Elephas maximus indicus: one gene and its partner. The protein of the gene in region 1 binds, or shares a complex with, the protein of each later gene. Links are inferred from orthologs where the notes say so. Each region holds a gene or a part of one and is shown in the gene's direction. Other genes may lie near its edges.

What was found. The genes of interacting proteins can lie anywhere in the genome.
Region 2: CACNB1 (region 1) and CACNG1 share a complex: the UniProt entries of both Homo sapiens proteins name them as parts of the calcium channel complex. The link is inferred for Elephas maximus indicus from reciprocal best matches to the Homo sapiens genes CACNB1 and CACNG1.

Annotation. Positions count from the first base shown.
Region 1 is NC_064837.1:46,617,020-46,620,763, reverse strand, and holds the start of CACNB1 (voltage-dependent L-type calcium channel subunit beta-1), read left to right. Parts: upstream 1-1,065; 5' UTR 1,066-1,245; coding exon 1,246-1,329; intron 1,330-3,715; coding exon 3,716-3,744. UniProt on the Homo sapiens protein: Regulatory subunit of L-type calcium channels. Regulates the activity of L-type calcium channels that contain CACNA1A as pore-forming subunit.
Region 2 is NC_064837.1:56,871,510-56,875,253, reverse strand, and holds the start of CACNG1 (voltage-dependent calcium channel gamma-1 subunit), read left to right. Parts: upstream 1-1,501; coding exon 1,502-1,736; intron 1,737-3,744. UniProt on the Homo sapiens protein: Regulatory subunit of the voltage-gated calcium channel that gives rise to L-type calcium currents in skeletal muscle. Regulates channel inactivation kinetics.

The DNA of each region.
Region 1 (3,744 bases):
AAACCCCAGCAATCCATCATTTAATTTTATTCTCCTTCATCCTCCCAATAACCCCAGGTGAAGTACCAGCAACCCCACTTTATAGGTGAGGAAACTAAGGCTCAAAGAGGCATAGTGATTTTTCCAGGGCCACACAACCCAAAAACCTGAGTCAAATTGACACCAAGGTCTCTTGCCAGAATCAGTCATTTCTCTTCTCTGAACCAGTAATGGTGGGCAGAGTGCAGGCCTTGGACATTTGTTCTCAAATCAAAGATGAAAGGGGAGCCATTTAAGTCAGAGATCATGATATCTGATATTAACCAGTCTCTCCTCTTCTCTCAGCTTAGCATTTCTTCCTCCACTTTTCTCCCTCTTCCAAGAAATGGGCACCTCCTCGCCTGGACTTTTGGAACGCCCTGGGGGATCCCAGCTACTGACTAGGGCAGAAGACTTTGGGGTCTCTGGGGGACTGCTTCTTGATGCTGTCTCCGTAGAGATCTCCCTCTGGCCACCCTCCCCACTCCAGCCTTAGTTCCCAGGTGGCACCCCCAGAGGCAAGTTGGTGAGGGACCTTTCTGTTCGGTTCAAGGCGGCTTCAGCCCTACGCTGGGAAGAAAGGAGTTAAAGCCAGGTCCCAGAATCACGGGGACCGGGAAGTTCCGGTGGCCCAAGCAGGAGTGGGCTGGGGAGACCCACTAGAAGCGCGGTTGGGACCCGGGGTTGGGAGGGACGACGGTGCCAGCTATGCCAATCCGAGCATTTCCCCCCATCAGCACTTGGCATGCACTGGTAACACCGTTCCACCTACCCCCCCCCGCCCCCGCCCCCAGCGGTTTTGTCCTTCTCCCCAGAGCAGGCGGCCCGAGTCCGAGACCAGTCCGAGGCCAGCGATCGGCCCCCGCCCGAGCCGGGAGGGGCGTGTCTGCTTCCCGCTGCCCTCCTATTGTCTGCGCGGAGCCAGCGGAGGGGCTGCGAGGGGCGGGGCCGGCCGGGCGGAGGGAGGGAGGGAGGGAGCGAGGGAGGGGCGGGTGGGAGCCCAGGGGGCGGGGGGAGATGCGGAGCCTTCAGGGGCGGAGGAGGCGGCGGCGGCTGAGGGAGAGAGGGAGGAGGGAAGGAAGGCAGGAAGGGGGCTGGCGAAGGCCAGGCTGGGTGGCTGGAGCCGGTGCTGGCTGCGCTGCGCTGCTCTCGACTCCGACGGCTTCTCCCATGCGCTGAAGGCGCCCGGCTGGGCCGGGCCGGCGGCCGGAGGAGAGGCTCCTCTCCATGGTCCAGAAGGCCAGCATGTCCCGGAGCCCTTACCCACCTTCCCAGGAGATCCCCATGGAGGTCTTCGACCCCAGTCCACAGGTGAGACGCGGTGGCCAGGCCGGCGGGAAGGGGCCCACTGCTGCGGACCTTGATGGGGTCAGCTCGAGGGGCGCCGGGGAGGAAGGGGTTATATGTTCGGTGTGGAGGGGAGAGGGGCGCCTGCGCGTCCCCCAGCCCCGCGGGTTAATGATTGATAGACAGTTGGCCCGGAGTTGGGCTGCGGGTGCTGTGGAGCGGGGAGGGGGCAGTCGGGCCGCCTGTCACCCTCGCCTCCTTCGCGTCAGGGTCCCTGCTGCTCGGGTACCGGTTCCAGTGAGATAACAGCGGGGGCTGTTGACGGGGGAGATCCGGGCCTTGAGAAGGGGAGGTTGAAGGAGGCTGGACAGCGAGCTCAGACAAGGAGGGCGACGCAGAGCACGTTCTGGGGCGCTGGGCGAGTGTGGGTGGGACGGGGGTAGCACTGGGAGATGGCCAAGGCAATGGTCAGAGGGCGGTGCCAACAGGGCTTTGAAGCCACGGACACTGGCCCTCGAGGGTGGGGGAAGGGGCCAGCTCCAGGCCAGAATCCCTCCCAGGCTCCTCTGTCCCCCGGTAGCTTGGACCAACTCCCCTCCCCCCACGCCCATGTTGGCTTTCCAAAGTTTGGAAAGTTGGATGCAAGCCAGCTCACTATCCTGAAGGAGAAGAAGCTGTATTACCTGAGGGAGGGGTCTGCCACTCTGCCCCCACTCACGCACTTTTCCCGTGCCCTGGATTACCCCCAGGAAGGGGCATTCCTGGGTGTGGTGGATGCCCGTTGAGTGACCAGCAGGGCCTGGGGTGGTCCTACCAGGAGGTTTCTCTGAGACTTTTCTGTCTCCAGTCCAGCAACACCCCAAGACTAGGATAGAGTTAACCCTTCTCTTGCTGTGGAACAACTGTAACCACCATGATAATGTGGCTGATGCGTATGTAGGGGGGTCAGGTCAGACCTAAAAATACCTCTCTCCTCCACCCTAGGCCCCTTGGAGTCTGGGAGGCAGCTGACTGGGGCCTTCCTTTCAGCTGTCCTCTGTCCTCTGGGTGCCACTCCCTTTTCCCAGCCTGGAGTGGTAGCATTGTGAATGAGAGTCTGGGGTTCACTGGAAGATCCTCTTGGGTTTGTAGGGATCCTCAAACCTAAAGTTTGGGTATATGTCTAGTTTGAAAGAAGAGAAGAGAGGAGGACCCTTGAAGGGTCCCCAAGTGCCCTTCTCTTCCATCTATCCCTCCTCCTTCCTGTCCCCAGGTCCTAAGAGCCAGAACCCCTGATCTGGTCATGGTTCATCCAGGTTATTTGGCCAAAATAAAACTAGGATGGAGGCCAGGGGGAGGGGCTTGGAGGGAATGAACTCTCAATCACAACCCCCCCTCCATTCTGGACTGGCCTGGGGCCAAGTGTGTATTTGTGAACTGGGAAGGGCAAAGAAGCCCCGTTTCCAGGAGGCCTGGAAATTCCTGAAGCCTTTAACTTGAATTTGTGGCTGCCTGAGGGGGGTGAGGCACAGTGTCCACTCCACCGAAGGCAGGAGCCTTGGTCTGTGTGATTGAGCCATCCTGGTTCTGGGAGACCTGTGGGGCTAGACTTGTCCTAGGCTCAACTTGGGATGGGACTCAGGGGCATTTAGATTAACATAGCCTGGTGGATACCATGGGGATAGGGTGTGGGCAGTGGCAGCTGGGATGGAGGGTGGAACCTTGATCACCCTTGTCCCCCTTGGGGAGAGGTGTGGCTATTGTGATTGTGAGATGGGGGTGGAACGAGGCCCTGCCGGGGCCCAGCTAGGAATCTGCCCCCATGGTGCTGGGCCAGGGTTGGATGTTGATTTCCTTTCCAAATACCCTCCCAATCCTCTCCTCGGAAATCTTGCATTGGGTCTCCAAGTGCTCAGAGCTGCCGCTCCCCTCCCTACTCTGCGGAAAAACGAAGGAAAGAGTTGGGCACAGGGGTGAAGCCCAGCCGGGCCCTGGATTGGCTCTTCCTCCTCTTTGGGGACCACTGGCACATTCAAGCCTTCTCTGGAGGGGACTTTCCCTGGCTTTCTCCACCACCCCCCGACAGCACTGCAGGCAGCCTTTTCCTTCCCCTGAGGCCTCTGCAGCCTGCCCTGCATCTTAATTAGCTTTGCTGCCTAATGAGCCGCCAGCTTCTCAGCACCTCTCCTTTTTTAGCCTCCTGGCTTGTTTCAGGAGTTTCTGTGTGTGACCCCCTAAGCCTCTCTTGCAGTGTCCCCCACTCCCTGGCTGTGGTCTGCGCCCTCTCTGGGAAAGTGGGAGACCCTCCCTCCCCTTGGACTGTACCACCTAAGGAAGAAGATAGGGGCAGTGGGGAGCTGTTCAGATTATGGACAGAGGGTTGGAAAAGGTCCTCCCTGATTCCACTTTTGTCCCTTCCCTGCTTTTCTAGGGCAAATACAGCAAGAGGAAAGGGCGGTT
Region 2 (3,744 bases), about 10 Mb from region 1:
ATAGTTTCTTTCTAGGTATTCTGCCTTAAAACTCCAGAACTTTCTTCTTGATCCTTGGCTGCTGCTTGCTGTGGGTCTGCTGCCCAGTTCGTCTGCCTCAGGCCACCCAGCACCCCTGCCCAAGAACCACCTGGCCTGGCTGACTCTGCCTGGGGTTTCCTGAGGCTAGGACCACACAAGTGGTGTGAATGGGCTCAGAGGCTGTGTGCCATGTCCACGCTTCCTAGTGTTCCCCAAGGAGAGGGCCCACCTGCTGGAGACAGTCACCCCTGAGGTAAAGCAGAGACATCGACCCACAAGTCAATCACTGAGTCAGCCAATTGTGACGAATTAGCTCCCGCTGGGAACATTGAAGTCCCTGGGTGGTGTAAACAGGTAATGTGCTCGGCTGCTACCTGAAAGACTGGAGATTCACTCCACCCAGAGGCACCTCAGAAGAAAGGCCTGGTGATATTCCCAGGCCTTTCTTCTGATTGCCAGGCCTTTCTTCCAAAGTGCCTCTGGGTGGACACAAACTGCCAAGCTTTCAGTTAGCAGCCCAGCGCATCAACAATTTGCATCATCCAAAGACTCCAGCCTCCTATTGGTCACCTGTGAATCAACCTACTTCTGTTCTTTTTTCTTAAATACAATTATTTTGTAAAAGGGAACATAGCTGGAAAGTCATTCTTACCTGGCATTAATAGAAGATAAAACTAAAAACAGTGAGAACAGGCCTGAGTCACAGCCAGCTCTGCAGTCTGAGGCCTCCCAGGCCATGTGCCCTTTGCCTAGAAGGGTGGTTTGCAAGCGTCAAGGAGGAATTAAGCACTTCCTGACCCTAACATGAGCTTTGGAAAGAGAACTGAGAAGGAAATAACCTCACTCAGGAGCTGGTGATGCCAGGCCCGGGAACCACATAAATCATCCCGAGATCTGGGAAATGTGGTGGTCTCAGGAGTATGGCCCTTGCCTGGGCCCTGGGTGGGGGATTCCGGGGGTCCCCTAGACAGGGTCCTAAGTCCCCCAGACTCACAGGATGAGGACCTACTCACCATACCTTGGTCACCACCCCTTGCAATGAGAGACTCAGGAAGGCCCCCCAGAGTCCTCTGCCCTCATCCAGAGCAGGCAGATACCCATGCCCTGCCACACCCCTGCCGGACCCTGGCACCCTGAGCGCCGTCCCATAGAGGTCTCAAGTCAGCATCCAGAGCCTCCTCTCCCTGCCCCGCCCTCAGGTATTTCTGGCTCCCCGAGGGGAAGAACGCCCTGAAATCTGAGCAGACACCATCGTGGTGACACACTGGGAGATGGGCATTAATAGCAGCCTCCCTCAGGCCCCTGACACGTCTGGGCAGCTGCTCAACCCCATCCCTCAGTCCCAAGGCCGGCCCATTCTGGCTCGACTGGGCACACTAAACTTAGCTCCGACCCCCAACTCGATACCCGCTGCCACCCCTGCCCAGCTGCCACCTGCCCTGAGAGCTGTGGCTGCTGCGTCCTGCCCAAGGACCCCACCATGTCCCAGACCAAAACCCTGAAGGTCCGTGTGACCCTCTTCTTCATCCTGGTAGGTGTTGTGCTGGCCATGGTGGCTGTGGTGACCGACCACTGGGCCGTGCTCAGCCCCCATTTGGCTCACCAGAACAGTACCTGTGAGATGGCCCACTTCGGCCTCTGGCGGATTTGTACCAAACGCATCGTCCTGGGTGACAGCAAGGACAAGAGCTGCAGAACCATCACCCTGTCCGGGGGTAACGTACCCATTCCCTGTCCCTGCACCCACTTCCTACCCTTCCCTGTCCCCCCATCTCTGGAAATGAGGGCAGGTTTCTCTGGCTCAGAACAGCGCAGGGACAAGACTCTGAATTGCATGTGGTTGTGCTGACAGCCAGAGCCGGTTGTGAAATGAGGGCACTTGTCTCCAGCTATTTCTGTCTTGCTGAGGCTTGGGGCTTTTCACCCAGAGACAAGGGCTGGACAGGTAGGACAAGAGGCTCCAGAAAGAAACTGCAGATCTAACAGTCTAGGGGCTTCTGCTCCTAGCAGTGGTCGAGCCTCTGGGCTTGCCCGGCCCGCAGTTCTCCTGTGATGACGGGCAGGCCAGTGGCTCTGCGTTCCCAGGCTGAAGGGCCAGCAGCTTCATTCATAGGCCTCCTGGCAGGAGCATACATAGGACCAGCTACAGAAGTTCTGGAGTCCTTGGGTGGTGCAAAGGGTTATGCACTGGCTGCTAACTGAAAGGTTGGAGGTTCAAATCCACCCAGAGACACCTCGATCTTCTTCTGAAAAATCAGCCATTGAAAACTCTATGGAGCACACACACACACACACACACACACACAAGAAAATCCTATGGAGCACAGTTCTACTCCACCCATGGGGCCACCATGAGTCGGAATCAATTCCACAGCAACTGGTCTTGAAGTCTTTGGGTGGTTCAAATGGCTAACACGCTCAGCTGCTAATTGGAAGGTTGGAGGTTTCAGCCCACCCAGAGATGCCAATCTACTTCCAAAAACTTGGCCATTGAAAACCCTATGGAGCACAGTTATACTCTGACACAAATGGAGGAGCCATGGGTGGGAATCAACTGATGGCAATACAAAAATTTCCAGGCACAGTGCAAAATGAAAACACCAGGGCTCTTTGTTAAATTTTTTTTAAATTTCAAGACAGTAACAGCAGTGCATTAAACCAAGTGTAGAGGCCTTCCAAGCGTGGGGTCTAGGGCGGCTGGCCTGTGAAGCCAGTCATGCCTGTCGCTAAGTGTCTGCCTTCCCCTCAGACCACGGCCCTGCTGCACAGCTCCGCCAGCTCAAACCTCTTCCCGGATAGAATGCATTGGCTTCCACTGTCCTTTACACATATGCCTCGATTTCCCAACACCAGGCTGAACCAAGCACTGAAGGTGAGTTCCTTGTCCAGAACACCTGGCCTTGGGTGGACCAGTCTCGATTCTGCACATGTGGAACCAACTATATTCACAGCCAGTAGACCACACACCTAAGGAGCACTGTGTGGAGCGTGGGAGGCCTGGGCTCGGGTCACACGCTGCCCACGAGCCCCCTAGATGACCACAGGGGAGGACAAAGCCCCTCTCAGCCTCTGATTCATCCTCTGCAAGGTACAGACTTGGGTTCAGCTCCCAAAGGTCCTGTCCAGTCCCCACAAATGTCCCTCCAAGATGGCAGCGGTCCGTCGTATGTGTGGCACCCACCCCTGGTTGCAGAATTATTTCCTCTGTTGTCAGACAGCTGTCCCTTGAGACCTGCCCTTCAGGAGCATCCATGCTGCATGCCCTGAAATCCTGCAGCCTCGCCCCAGCCTCATGCTTCCCTCTCTGCTCCGGCCTCTCTTCCCCTCCTGCTTCCTCCAGGAATCCCTGTGCTCACCCACCCTCTCCCAGGATGCCTGGAAGACTCAAATACCCAGCTGTCTTGGAAAAACAGAGTCCCAGGGCTGAGGGCCTTGACAGGCGTGGGCATGTGTTAGAAGGATATCACATAGCCAGAAGCCCACGCCCCTTGGCCACTGCCAAGCACGCCAGACAGATGCGTCATCCAGCTGGCTCCCCTGGGACAGGCCAGGCAGGGCATGGTGGGTCAGCCTATCCAGCAACCACATGTGGGGACATCCCATCCCCAGTTCTGCTCCCTGACCTGAGAGGCGCCTGCCTTTTAAAGCCTGGTGAGTTCACAAAGCAGATGAACAGGAGGTGAGCATGGTTCACACAAGGGAGAGACCTAGGAAGAGGCAACA